2 linked regions of the Tamandua tetradactyla genome follow. The protein of the gene in region 2 interacts with the protein of the main gene of each other region in a pairwise test. Links are inferred from orthologs where the notes say so. Each region holds a gene or a part of one and is shown on either strand. Other genes may lie near its edges.

Region 1 (6,928 bases), on a different chromosome or scaffold from region 2:
CCCTGACATCCCCATTCCGTCTCAGCTTGTTTCCTCTCACCCCAAAAGGCCCCTCTCTCTACTATGATTCTGCCTAGTAGGAAGTGGGAACAAAAGCAGGAAGTGTGCAAAACAGCTAGGCAGAGTGGTGGCGGGATCCACCTGCGGAGGATGGGGGTGTCGGGGAGCTGGTGCGGCTGTGGCCCCCCTGGGTGACTGACACGGCAGTCTTGACGGCATAGATGTTTGCCTCCTCTTGGAACTTTCCAATATTTTTCTTATAGCGAATCCGCTTGTTGCCAAACCAGTTGGAGACCTGCGGGATATTGGGTAGAAATAAGAAAGGGTTGGGGGAAATCTTTCCCTCTGAAGCTCCTCTTTTAATGGGATCTGAGACCTTTTCATCCGAAAACTCCCTCTCCCCAGGCCACCCGCAATACCTGAGAGACAGTGATGCCACACTTCTTGGCAAGCTCCTCCTTGGCCTCCTCACTGGGATACGGGTTACTCAGGTGGGAGTAGAAATATTCATTTAGGACCTCGGTGGCCTGTTTGCTGAAGTTACGGCGTTTCCGCCTACAGGGGAGGGAGAAGGGTGGTGAGGAGGTGCTGGTCTGGCGGGGTCGCCATGTTGTACGACTCTCGGGGCACCCTCTTGGGTACAGCGTTGTGCAACGTGATGGCCCAAGGTCCCAGAGAGGCATGGGAAGGAGCCCAGACCTAAAGCCTGGCCTGGTCCCCTGGGTCCCACCTGGCATCCAGAAAGCGGGAGCGCAGGATCATGACGGCCTCACAGGTGCTCTGCTTGAGCTGCATCTGGATGGCGCTGAACTTCCGGTGGATGATGCTCACCATGCGCTCCATCTCCTTGGGTGCCACAGGGCGTGTGCGGCTCTGCTCCCTCAGCAGGTTCATCACGTGGGTCGTGAACTCGTTACACGCCTGCAGTGGGGGCCACTGGACTGGTGAGGAGGAGCCCTCTGGCCACAGGACTCGTCCCCCAAACCCCGAGCCTCTCCCTCCACCCATCCCAGCCTCCTCTCTTCACCTGCTCATACTTCTCCAGCTCCGAGTGGTAGATGTGGCGAATCTGGGCAAGTTTGCTGCGATAGTCTGAGTGCTCGATGGAGTTGTCAGGGGACACGCCACCCCCGGAGGCTGCAGCGGCTGCAGCTGCTGCCGCTGAACCGCCCCCTTTCTCTGGCCCAGCCACACCCTCTGCCAGAAGCATGTTGTCCAAGCGCATCAACTGTGGGTCCACAGGCTCCTCCTCTTGGGAGCTCCGGATGCTGAGCCCTAACATGCAGAGAAGTGGATTTAGGGACCTATGGACCCCACACCCAGCTCTCAGCCTTCCTGGTGCCTCCAGGAAACCCAATTTCCAGGCTTTGGTCCCCTCTCTAGCAACCTCCCCAAGTCCCCACTTTCCTCAAGGTCCCCAAGTTGTCAAGGTCTTAGCCAGAATCCTATAATGAACAGGGTCCTGTCCCCAGAGTTGAGCAGTCACAGGGGACCACATACCGGTTTTCTCCTTGATTTCACACAGGACGCTAAAGAGGGCAGGCTTCATTCGATGGCAGTTTAGGGCGTGTTTCCTTGGGAGGAATGTGGGGGGGGGGGGGAAATGAGAGAGAAAAGTTGAAGAGCTACAGAAATAGCAGGGGACCTGAGGGTGAGAAAGGGGAGCCTGGGAACTAAGGGAGAGAGGTGGATAAATCTCTAAGAAGGGAGACAGAAGTGGGTTTGGGGCAGGTGGGGTGTGTGTGTGTGGAGTTGGGAGAGCATGGAGATATGGGGCAGCTGTTTGGCTTCAGGAAGATAAGGGGAAGATGTAAGCAAGCGCAAGAAGCTCGAGAAGCTATGGGTGGGCTGGGGGCTTTGGAAGATGATTCGAGGAAGAGTTTGGAGTAGGAGTTTGGGGGATCACTGGACAAACGAGCATAGACTTTAGGGGAAGAGAGATGCAGGATGGGTTGGAGAAGAGTCAGAGTTTAAGGGTGTCAGAGAGGGGTTGGGGGATGCCAAGCTGAAGTGGGGAGTTCAACATAGGTGTATGTGTATAGGTCCCGGGACTGAGCAGAGCGGGGTGAGAGGTGGGGGGATTTGATGCACCTAGTGTTCGACTGAGCAGAGGAGAGTGTTAGGAGCTCTGGAGAGGGGTGCAAAGGTCCCCACGTCTGAAGAAAGTGGGGGTGGGCTGGGTGGAGAGTTAGGAAAGAGGACAACATTGCCAGGGAGCAGTTTTTCAGCCTAGGAGCCAGAAGTAGGTTCAGGGGGATGATAAGGATATTCCAGGGGAGTGTGGGGGTCAGTGAGAGGTTGTAGGGGTGGGGATGGTGGTGAGATCATCTGGGGTTCCCTCTGTGGAGGTTTCAGGGTCTGGGGGTGAAGGGACGTTTAAGAGGGATCACTTATCTCGGGGCTCCTGGGAGTAAGGAGAGAAGAGAGCTGTAGGATTCCGGTGAGGGTCTTGGAGTTAGGGGGTTCCCAGAAGATTCAGAGCTTGTGAATGGGGGTCCTGCTGGGTCTGTGTAGGGTCCCGGGGTGGGGGCACTCACTTGGCCTGGGCCTCGTCCAGGCTCTGGTCGGTGATGGTCATTATCTGCTGCAGAATGTCCCCGATGTCTTGCTTCCCTCGGCCTCCCGGGACCCCCCCGCTGCCCCCACCGGGGTCTCCGCCACCGGGAGGCTCGCCGGGGCCCCCGGGCTCCCCACCCACCAATCCCAGGCCCCCCCGGGCTCCGCCTGGAGGGGGCGGCCCCAGCAGCCGCTCGTCCATAGCTGGGGGGGGCCCCTGGGGCCCCCTCCCTGCTCTGCCCCTCCCCCCCGCCTGGTTACTTCCCCCCCAAACTCGCTGGGGCCGCTGTTCCCTCCGCCCCCACCCCCACCCGTCTCCCCCGCCCTCCGGGCTCCCCCGGGGGTTCACCCCGGCCCTGAAGGGAGACCTGGGGTACCGGCTGGGTCCCCACAGGAGACCCCGGCCCCCGGCGGCGGAGAAAATGGAGCCGGAGAGAGAGAGGAGGCCCAAGCGGGGGTGTGTGTGTGAGAGAGAGAGAGAGAGGGAGGGAGGAGGGAGGAGGGGGGAGGGAAGGAGGGAGGCTGGGGGAGGGGAGTCAGGGAGGAAGAGGAGGGGAGAAGAGAAGAGGAACAGGGAGGAGCTGGGGGCGGAGAAACACAGAAACCGAGGAACTGAGACCGAGTGGAGGAGGGGAGAGGGACGAGGGCTGGAGGGGAGGAGACTGTCCCAGTGGGGGGGAAGCCTGGGTTTTTCTGTGGCCTGGGAGGGGGGCGTGTCGCGGGCTGGGGTCCTACCATCTAGGTTCTGAGTCAGGGTTCTGGGTGATGGGGTCTCTGACCGCCGGAATGCCTGGGTTCACAGACAGCTCAGTACATATTTCTTGTCCTAATGACTCCCCTCCCTGTTCTACTTAATTAAAACCAGGAGCGGGTGGGGGGGTGGGGGGGATAATTAGGGAGGTCTCCAGTCGCTGCTTAATGAGCCAGTAATTAACCAGCCAGGGAGGGGAGCTGGCTTCTGGCCAAACTGGGAGAAGGAGACAGCCTCTGACCTCACCTTTTCACCCCCCACCCGGGCCCCTCAAACACCAGTCTTCAGTCCAGAAGGGAATTACATTTATTCACACAACCAAAACATCAGACTCAGAGCAGCAGCGGGGAGAGAGGGTGGGCAGGGCTAATGGTCCATTCACAGCCTGTAGGCCCCTCAGTCCTTGGGCTGGAGGGTGATAGCGGTGGGGGTGGGAGAACAAGCTTAATCTCTCTTTCCCAGGCCCATCCACCCTCCCTTTCTTCTTGCTGGGAAGGAGGGCAGCGCCGTCTCTCCGGTCACAAGGTTTGCCTTGGGAGGTGGAAGCCTGAGCTCTCAAACCCTGCCTAGTAGCTCCACCACTGGGGTGTCCCCACAGCTCTCGCCACATGAGAAGAGGGGGTGGGTTTTCCTTGGCCGGGATCTTCTCACTGCCTCAAGCTTCCTTGTGCTTGGGGAAGAGTTAAATGACCATCCTACCTTGCCTTTCTCCTGTTCCCAGGGTTTGAGAACTTTCACCCCCTCCAGTTCTGAGGGAAGGTGGATGAGACGGATGAATATTGAGGGCCTTTCAGTCTCTGGTGCCCCTGCCAAGCAGGGTCGAGGGCATGCAGTGGGCTGACCAGGTTTGTGCCCCGGGAGTGTGAAGGGGGCTGTTGGGGTCCACAGTCTCAGCAGGTGTGGGTGGGTGGCCGGGACCTTTGTTCCTCCATTCGACCTCCACCCTGAACCCTCAGCAGCAACTCCAGGAGCTCCTGCCCCCCTGGGGGGAGGGGAGGCTCTGACCGCTGGGCTTCCATCCGCTGACACTGGAGGAGTGGGGGGGGGGGGGCCTTAAGAGGTGCCAAGGCTGTGCTGGGCATATAGGACACCTGTGCTGGGGATGGTTTGGGGGGAGCTAGGGACTTGGCGATAAGGCAGATGCCTGGGGAGAAGGAAGATGGGACCCGAAAGTGAACAGAGGCCAAGGATCCAGGAGGCTTGGGTCTTGCCTCCTGGGGGTGTCTCACCTGGTGACTGAGGATGGTGCTGTAGAGCTGTTCTCTGTCCTCAAGTGGCCGGGGCAGAGCCTGGGCTGAGGTTGGAGTTTTCAGGGGGGCGTGGAAGGTGGCCCTCTGCTCCTCTAGGCGGCGGGACTGGGCCTCAGCCACCAGGTCCAGAAGGTGTTCCGTCTGCAGGGAGAGCAGGGAGGCCGAGCGGGGCCCCATGGCTAGGGAGAGGAGAGGGAGGGCTGAGAGACCAGAGGGGTCGGCAGATGGGCTGGGGGCACAGCGTGAGGTGCTTAGGGACTCGGGATCAGAGCTGAGGGGGTATGATAGGGAGTCAGGAGGAGGCAGGGGGAGAGCCCAGGTTGGAGTGAGTCTTGGTAATGGGGTCAGGGAGAATGTGGGCACCAGGGCTGGGAGGCTCCCTGGGAGGCTGGAGGTACCTGTGTGCCGGGTCCCTGAAGGAGGAGGGGACGGAGGAGCAGATCGCCAGGGCCGACTGGTGGTGCTCAGAGGGGGCCAGCCCTGCTCATCTTGGGGGGAGTCCTGATGCTGAGAGATGTCCGTTCCAGTCAAGCAGGGTTGGGTGGAAGGGGTGGGGTGGGCAGGGGGCTAGGCTGGCGGCCCATTTCCTCTCTTTGGGTCTCCATTCCTGTTCCTTCTGTCCCAGGTCCTCTCACCTCCCTTCTCCCCCAGTGTCAGCCTCCCCCACACAGGGCCCAGCTCACCTGCTCACCATCTTCTTCTTCCTGGAGTCTCTCAGCCTCCATCCCCTGGAGGGGAGAAACTGATGGGGGAGGGGTGGCTGGGATTTGGGAGGCGGGCTGGGACCCTGGATTCCAGAGAGGAGTGGGGGCTGGAAGGGGTGGGGGTGAGCTGGGGATTGGATGCCTGGGTTATGAACAGGCAGCTGGGTTCCTGGTCAGCACCCCCCATGGGCCCCGCCCATCCCTGTCAACTTCCTCCAGTTCTCCTTTCCCACTCAAACAGCTTGCTCGACCTCTCTTTCCTCAGGGGAGCACTGAGTCCAGGGAAAGCGCCTCCAGCTACAGGAGTGGAGTGGGGATTTATAGTGGGGGAAGGACTTCTGGTCTCATCCCCAAAGACTCAGAACCCCTCCTCCCCAACTCCTAGCTCTGTCCCTCTACCAGTACCTCCCCTTCAGCTCTTTCTGTCAACACTGTCAACACAGGAACTAGCTATACAGGAAGTGGTTTCACTCCTCAGAAACCCCCCTCCCCCAACACACACCAGGTCCTACCCTCCTCTAGGATTAGGTCCTCCCCATGCATTTCTTGGACCTAATGGGACCAGGAGTGGCACAGTCCCACTGGGAAGTAGAGGATTTAGACCCAGGAATGTCGGGCCCTCAAGCCCGTAACACGCCAGCACTGAATACAACACACGGTAAGTATTCAATAAATACCCCTGCCCTCAAGGTGCTTACAGTCACTTCAGGAGACAAGATGTGCACCAAATAGAGAATGAGAGAGAGTTCACTCTGGCAGCTCACAGTTTAGTGCAGACAAGGGAAGGGGCAGGGCAAACTTTGTTCTGGTCATGAATAAAAATGGAAAGGAGAGATCACTACCCTTGCTTGGCCTTGGTCAATGCTGGTCAGGCTAGGTGGCATGAGACAGGAGCAGACAGATATTTGGGGTCTCTAAATGGCAACCTGCCATGATAGGAGACTTAAGTTGAGTGACTTAAAACATGAGATGTGGGGATATCTGGTTCTGCCAGATACTACTCTGCAATTGTAGGTATATAACCTATCTGTGTCTGTTATGAGAAATATGGGGTTTTCATGGCCCCTACCTTATAGAGTTGATGTGGAGATTAAATTTGATGAAGCTTGGCACATACTGAGTGCTCAGTAAGGGGTATTATTATTAGTTTTCAAAATGCCTTATATCTCCATGTATCTGGCTCATCACCATTAAAGACGTGTAGCCACATTGCTGAAAGGTGAGTAAAGTTTCTTTAAGGTGCTATCTCCCTCTCCCTCTATTTAACCTGAGGTCTTAGGTGGCCATCACTAAACGTAAAGGACGAAGGGCATGGTCTAGCATGTGTATGGGTTCTCACTGGTATACTAAAGCTTCTTGCTTTCAGTGAATACCCTAAATTAACACGGGACTCCCAAATCTACTTATTCTTGCTCTTTAACTGTACCCAAAGCTCTCATCCAAATGTTGAGCTAAGGGCACAAAATTCGGAAAATACTATACAGTCACTCCTGCATTTTTCCCACTCCACTCCCCAACCCCTCCAAAAAGAAAAAAAGTAACACTTTAAGTCAGCTTTAATGTGAGGTGGCAATTTGGGGCTCTTATAGTGGTGGCAAGAAGAGTGGTGCTTCATCCCTGCAGTGGAGTTCCTTTTTTACAAGGAGTCATCAGCTAGAATGGCCCTT
Region 2 (7,356 bases):
CAAGAAAGGCTGATGCTGTCCGGAACAGCTCTGTCAGCTGGGAAGTCATGTGGCTGGCATCTGCTGGTCCCTTGCTTCTGGGCTCTGTTGCTTTCAGTCTCTGTCCATGTGGGGGTCTCCACTTTGCTTCCCTGGGGCTGGCTTTCAACTCTTGGTTTCCCTTGGCTCTCTGCAGGTTCTGGCTGGCTTAACATTTCATGGGAAAACACACGGCAATGTTTGCTAGGCTCCAAGCATCTCTAAACATCCGTGTCTCTGCTCTCTCTGTTGACCCTAAAGCTTCTGTTGGCTCTCTCTGTTGTTTTTGTCATTTCATGAAGTTTCTCCGGGGATATTTTCTTTCTTCATCTCCAAAGGTCTCTCCTGCATGGGCTCTGTTGGTTCTGGTGACTCTGAAGCTTTTTCCAAAATGGTTCCCTCTTTAAGGGTTCCAGTAAGCAACTGTACCTTGAATGGGTAGAAAGGAGACACATCTCCATGGAAACCGTCTAATCAAAGGTCACCACCCACAACTGGGTGGGTCATATCTCCATGGAAACAATAAAAAAGATCCTACCCAACAATATTGAATGAGGATTATTAAAGAACATGGCTATTCTGGCGTCCACAACAGATTCAAACCGGCACACGTGCTTTGATCAAAGCGCAGGACCTCTTTTCCCTGACAGTCCTGCCTGGTCAGCTGTGCTTCTAGGTTAGGATTTCCTCAACCACTAGGCCCCAAGATCCTGTAGGAAATTTGGAATACACATACAAAAAATAGTACTAAGTGTGTCCAGTGGGCAAGTAGGCATTCTTCTGCTTCTTCTGTGGTATATATATATGGTAACATATATACAAACTAACATTTCCCACTTTAACTTCTTTCAAGTACACAATTCAGTGACCATAATTATCTTCACGATGTGCCACCATCACCACCCTCCATTCCCCAAACATTTCCGTCCCCCAGAGAGGGGAACCCCACAGTCCTGAGTGCTCACTCTTCTGGGGTCTCCGATTGTAGCCCTTCATTGACTTTGGAGAGAAATGAGGATAATGCAAATCATTTTTGTCTGTGGACATGCAAATGGGTTCTGAATGGAGGAGGGACAAGCTCTGGCCCCAGCCTCACCAACCCTCCCACCCAAAGGCCAGTTTTGCACAATTGGCAAGTGCATGCCAATATTCCTGATCCATAAATCTTATTGTTCTTTGCATTCTCCTTTAAGTCGGCTCCAACAGCTTCCTGTTCCCTCATTTAATTAATGAATTCATTAAAATTCATGCCATGTGTTCATTTTATATCTGTATGGGAGGCATGACTTCTTTTTTAACTGTCTTTTAACATGGATAAACCTCACATCTGGCTGCACTGCCATTTCCCTGCTGCACTCTGATGGGGTCCTTGGGGAAGCGAAGCTGACGGCATTAGCTGCCTTGACCCCCAAGGGTCTACTGGGCCCTGGGTGCTTACCACCCGCCACTTCCTTTCCTCCGCCACGCAATCCCATGATAGCCGCACTATCACTATTTGAAGATGGAGGAAACTGGAGCTCAGTAACCAGCAAAGCCAGGCTCTCTTGACATTCAGGACTTTTGACTCCAGGCCCAAGGCTCTTCTGGCTCCATCACAACTGCCTCTTTTACACAGCAGAAAAAAACGCCACCTGTGGTGGGCAGGCTGTGGGACGGGCCCCCAGGGCCCTCTCTCCCTGGCACTCACGCTCTCAGCAATCCTTCCCCCTGCATGTGGGCGGGACCTGGGACTTGCTGCTAACCCTCAGGATACAGAGAAAGGATGGGGTGTCACTTCTGTGATTACATAAGCTTGTCCCTTACGTCCTGCCAGCTGCAGAGTGTGGAGGCCGCGTGGCTGGGCCTCAGAATGGCCAGCGGCCTGGGGGAAACGAGGCCGCAGTCCAGTGGCCGCAGGACCTGACCCCTGCCCATGGGTGAGCCTGGAAACAGATTCGTTTTCACCCTGCCCGGCTGACGCTTTGTCTGTGGCCTGATGGGGATACCCTGTGGCTGAGCGCCCGGCTAAGCCATGCCCTGATCTCAAGCCAGAGAAGCCATGAGATCACAGTGTAAGTCGTTCCAGGCCGCTAAGTTTGTGGCCATTTGTTACACAGCATTATTAGTTCCCTAGCACTTGTAGTAGCACTAGTTGTACCCACCATGTCCTAGAAAGGTTACTTCAGCTAAGGAAAGAGAGAGAGAGAGAAAAAAAAAGCCATGGGAAGCAAAAAGTTGAAATCAATGAAACTCGAAAAAGTAGAGAGAGAGCAGCCACGGCCACTGGGTGCCGTGTCACATGGCACAAGAGACAAGAAGGCCTATCAGTGGGTCTTCAGGAAGAAGGCATCACTTTGATATGGCTTGATCTGAACTTTCTTTTAGCCTCAAAATCATAAGCAAATAAATTCCCATATCCTGGTGTTTGCTTGAGAAGCCTAGAAAACTACAGTGAGTATCTTCTGAGAAAGCGATACTGGTACCAAGGCTATGGGGAGGTGGGAGGGTGCCCTGAGGTGCCGTTGGGAAGAGTGTTTCGGGTGAGGGAACAGCAAGCCTGGTGTGACCAAGGAGCAGCAAGGCAAGTGGTGGCTGCAGCAGAGCCGGCCAGGGACAGGGCAGCTGGGGTTGAGCTACTATGGCAAAATGAAAAGTTGGCAAGTCTAATTTAAGCTTTGGGTCATTCATAAGATTCCCTGGGTTGCTCTTTGGATAGGTCATATTTTTAAAAGGATCATCCACCCCACTCATGGCTCATGACTTCCTGTCCCCACACACCTCTGCAAACCCAAGCAGTTTAGCTAACCAAAGTGGTTGCCTTGAAAACCAGGCCCAAACCCTTACTTTTACATGGCTGTCTTGCTCATTTTTCTTATCCACGCCCCTCCAGCTCCTCACCCACCTTAAGAACAACCACAGCCATGCCCTCCCCCAGCCCCTCCCGCCTCTCCAGCTGGCCAAGCAGCATGTAGGGAATTTGGCCAGGTCTGGGTCACAGCCTGCTTTCCGGACTGCGGTCACCTGCGTTGGGTACGGTCCAGTCTCTCCTTTTCTTTAGACCCCCAACACCTGGGACAGGCCGGGCCCAGAGCGGGTGCTCCCTCGCCAAGGCTGGCACTAGGCAACAGTCACTTCTTGTGCCCCTCAAGGCGTCTCCGCCTCTTTGCCTGCCTACCCTCCACGACCCGCGCGGTGCCCGTCCTGTTTGGCCCACCGGGCAGGCTCAACTGGCCCAGCACAGGTAGGATTGGAATCCCTCTCTGGTGAGGCAAGGGCTGGAAATATCAGGATAAATATAGGAGCACAAAGATGTGACTGCTCATCTCTAGATGAAATCACGTCAATGAGCTCTGGAAACCCGTTTTGCAAATCTAAGTGCCGAGACAGTTCTTTTAGCCCTATAATTTGTACCTAGTGCAACTGATGAGAGGCAGAATTCTACGCGCCTAGTCCCACCGACAATTACACACGGCCTTTTAATTCACACACCTGAACACGGTCCTCGGGGAAAGAGTAACAGATCTTTGGTAGAAACTCGGCGGAAAGCAGGAGGAATGGCTGGCTACTTAAACGAAAATATGCAAAGAAGATGTGTTTGGGTTTTTTCTTCGAAGCTCCCGCGCCTTGGGGATAGACGGCGTTCCCGGCCCGGGACCCTTGAGCCCCCGGGCCTGCGTGGGCCGAGGCTAGTCCGCAGGCCCGCACGACCTCCGCCCCGGCCCCGGCCCCGGGCTCCGCAGCAGCGCGCACGTGCTCACTCCGACGGCCCCGACTCCGGCGCAGGCGCGCGGCCTCCGAGACCGGAAAGGGCCGCGGGGTGCGGGACCCAGCCCAGGTCCCCAGCGCACAGCGGGCCCGGACAGACGCGTCGGTCTGCGGAGGCTCAGAGGGCGGGCCGGGAACACTACCGGCCGCCCGCGGTCCAGCCCTGGCCCCTCCCCGACCGCGGAAGATAGTCTCGCCCATCTGCGCCCCGCCCGCCGCTCTCGGCCGGGCAGCAACTACGAGCTGCGGTGGCAGGCAAAGGGGCGCGGCACGCTCTGGAGGCCACGCCCTCATCTGCATAGTCATGACGGGTATCTCCGCCTTCGGGGAGGGGCGGGCCTTCCCGCGCGCCCGCTCGGCCGGAGGGGGCGTGGCCCGGCTGCAGCGCGAGTTGGGGTGGGGCCGGCGCCGACCAGGCCCCCGGCGCGCTCTCCGCCCCTTCAGCGCAGGCCCCGCCCCCGCCCGCCGTCTGGCAGGGCGCGGGGCGGGGCGCGTCGCTGGAAGGCCCCGCCCCCTCTGTGAATATTGATGCTGCGCGCGTCGGCGTCGCCCTCCTCCCATTGAGCGAGGCTGTGTCGCGTGGCCCGGCGTCGGCGTGACGGTTGGACGCGGGCGCGGCACTGCGGGTCCCGATTGCTGCAGCCGCTTGTCAGTGTGATGAAGATTGGCACCCAGGTAAGCTGTCACTCAACCGCTCCGCCGCCGCCGCCGCCGCTCGCCGCCGCCGCCGTCCCTATCAATCACACCGGCCGCCGCCGCCCCGCCGCCCCGCCGCCACCCGACGCCTGGCTGTCGGCGGGGCGGGACGCCAAGCAGGCCCCCGCACTTGACCCGCCGCCCCGGGGCAGGGGCGAGGGGGGCGCGGTGGGGGAGGGGTGCGGGCGGCGGCGGGGCGGGGGCGCCGTCCACGCCGGGACCCACTCGGGGTCGCGCCGAGTTTGTTTTTAAGTGAGGGTTGAGGTGGGAGGAAATTTCTGGAAGGCGCCGCCACGCTGGGCCCGCTGCGAGGCGCGCCCTCCTAACCGTCCCCTTCGGAGCGCGGCGCGCGCCCCTGCGGGGGTGGAAGGGCGGTGCACGGGGGCGCGCCAGGCGCGGGCGGCGCGCGGGGGCGCGCGGGCTGGGCGGGCCTGGCTGAGAGGCCCGCGGGGGCGCGCGCCGGCCCGGGCCTGGGTGTAGGCGGGTCGCGAGCCTCGCGGTCCCCGTAGCGGTGGGGGGGGGTCGCGGGCTCGCGCGCGGGTGGGGGCGGGAAGATGGCGGCCGCCGGGCGGAGGTCGGGACGCATCCCCGCGGTGCCTCTCTCCTTGCAGCCCCCCTCCTCGCAGCCCTCCTCTCCTCGCAGGGCCCTTCCCCCTCGTAGGTCGCCTCCTCTCAGCTTCCCCCCTGCTCCCCCTCCCCTCGCGTCCCACCCTGGCCTGCGGCCCTGGGAGCGCGCGGAATGCAGCCCGCGGCCACCGCCGGGTCCGAGCGTTTTCGGGGCGCGGGGTGGTGCACGGGGGTCGCACTGGGGGCTGTCCCGCCGGAGCGTCGGGCTGGTCTTGTGGAATTAGTTACAGAGGTGTGAGGCGCGGCGTCAGTTTGGGGTGGATGACCGCAGGGTCCGGAGTGGCCTGGCCGAGCGGCTCGCGGGCGTTCCTTTAGGGAGGAATCGTGAGTCACCTGAAAAGGCTTGAGAAGCTCGAGTCTGCTTTCTGTCCTCCCGCGGGCTCCTGGAATGCCGGTTCCTGATGGTGCCCGAGACCCGCTGGGAGGCCCTCTGTGATGCTTGGCCCCTGCGGAGGCCGGTCGGAAGGGAGTGCGTGTTCGGTGCATGGGCGCAGGCTTGCAGCGCTCCAGAATAGATTTGTCACATGTAAGAGCAGCTTAACGTAGTTATTTAGAGTATAAGCATTCGTTGATTTATGAGAGTGACCGAATTTCCTTAGGAAGGGGTTGCTTTCCCCCTTACGGTAGTTAAGTGTAACTTTAGGGGCTTTCGCTAAATATTAGAGCAAGAATTGAGGTCAACTGTACGTTTGCCAGTGTAGATCTCGGTAATGTCCTGAATCTCAGGTAGGTACAGTGGTCTGGACGAGGCAGGCTGCCTCCGATCTGCCCCCCCACCCATTTTACTATTTTTCCTGAATTTGCTTACGGTGGGGGGTGATATCTGGCTCGCTTATTTCATTGAGTCTGCCACTCAAAGAGACAATGAGTCTCTTGTGTATGCAGCTAGAATGATACCGCTGACAGTGCTTTCCTTTGAAGGAGCCCCACAAAATTTCGGAGATTTAAGTGTTTTGGAATTGATGAATCATGGTGGGTGAAAGATGACTTGCGTTTTAAGCTTGTGATTTAACAGACTAGTTGTTAATGACACCAGGGCCAAAGTGTTTTTTTGAGATTCCTTTCCTCTGTTTTATAGATATTTTAAACCCAGGCACTGTATTGTAACTGTTTAGAATAGTATTACATATGAATAGTAGCTTTCTACTTACAACGTTCACTTTTGTTGCATAATTGCATTTGAAACATTAGAAAAGGAAAGGCCTGAAACTGCTAAAGTGATGCAAAGTGTGCCCCCTGGGGTGTCCTAAACTTTACTTCTCCCTCCCACCTCCCTCAGGCTTCTTTCTGTCTCTTCAGAGAAACACTAAAATGAAAAGGATCAAGAAGGAAGCTACTTACCACTGAAAAATACAGTTACCAAAATATTGGAAAACACATTGGTGATAAATTACTGTACCGTGCTCTTTATTAACTCACCAAGTGACAAGATCCAGTAGCAGATCTGATAATTTTGGAGTTTGATGAGCATAACTGATATTTTGAAATTTCTGAAACAACTTAATGTTTTATGAAAATGCCTGTGATTTCTCTTAGGGGAAGAGTCCCAGGTCCTCCTAAAGCTGTGGCATTTACGGTCTGCGTTTGTAATTGGAGAACACAGCCTTTCAGCTGGCATTTAGTGCACACAGACAGCTGATAGTTTTTCTCATTCCAGGTCACAGATACCAAGTAAAGAGCCCCTGCACTATAAGTCTATTTACTCATGGGAAATGTAGGTGCCCTTCTCTTTTATCTTCCTCAAACGAGTAGAATAGTTGCACAGATGGTACAGGTGACCATGGCAGGTGTGGGAGTAGCAGTAGGCACGTGGGGTTCCCCAATGGTGACTACTCTGGGTTTTGCAAAAACTCTAAGAAGGCCCTCAAGGTGGTAATATACTTTAGAAAAAGTTCATTTGGTGGACATTGTAAAACATTTCGGGGCAGGGAGCGTCAGTCCTTTGATGGAATTAGCCAGCAGGCCTGGCTACGATTGCTGGCCCAGGGCCTTGCTTTTCTTTCTGTCAGATGAGCCTCAGTATACCTACCCTGTTGGCCTGCCATCCTGGTCCTGCTGGTCGGAGCACCCAGCCTGCCGCCTGCCTTCAGCAAACAGCCCCTTGTTTCTGAGGTTTAAAGTGATGGTTTCTGGAAAATCCACAGCACGAAATTAAGCAAATGTATAGTCTGAAATGGCTTAAAATTCCTGTTTCCCTGAAGTACTGGTTCACAGAACACAGCTCAGGGACTTTGGAAGGGGCAGAAACAGTGTTTCAGTCTTAGCCATTTT

The links. The genes of interacting proteins can lie anywhere in the genome.
Region 1: the proteins of PKNOX1 (region 2) and PBX2 interact in binary tests that used the Homo sapiens proteins (3 or more experiments, as listed by UniProt). The link is inferred for Tamandua tetradactyla from reciprocal best matches to the Homo sapiens genes PKNOX1 and PBX2.

Annotation. Positions count from the first base shown.
Region 1 is NC_135331.1:87,699,992-87,706,919, forward strand, and holds the start of PBX2 (pre-B-cell leukemia transcription factor 2), read right to left. Parts: upstream 3,062-6,928; 5' UTR 2,759-3,061; coding exon 2,538-2,758; intron 1,575-2,537; coding exon 1,501-1,574; intron 1,276-1,500; coding exon 1,028-1,275; intron 922-1,027; coding exon 731-921; intron 556-730; coding exon 420-555; intron 296-419; coding exon 142-295; intron 1-141. Other genes in the region: GPSM3 (G-protein-signaling modulator 3), read right to left, coding at 4,198-4,335, 4,537-4,736, 4,956-5,064, 5,241-5,282; NOTCH4 (neurogenic locus notch homolog protein 4), read right to left, coding at 5,272-5,285. UniProt on the Homo sapiens protein: Transcriptional activator that binds the sequence 5'-ATCAATCAA-3'. Activates transcription of PF4 in complex with MEIS1.
Region 2 is NC_135336.1:100,391,436-100,398,791, forward strand, and holds the start of PKNOX1 (homeobox protein PKNOX1), read left to right. Parts: upstream 1-4,308; 5' UTR 4,309-4,437; intron 4,438-5,278; exon of another isoform or gene 5,279-7,356. UniProt on the Homo sapiens protein: Activates transcription in the presence of PBX1A and HOXA1.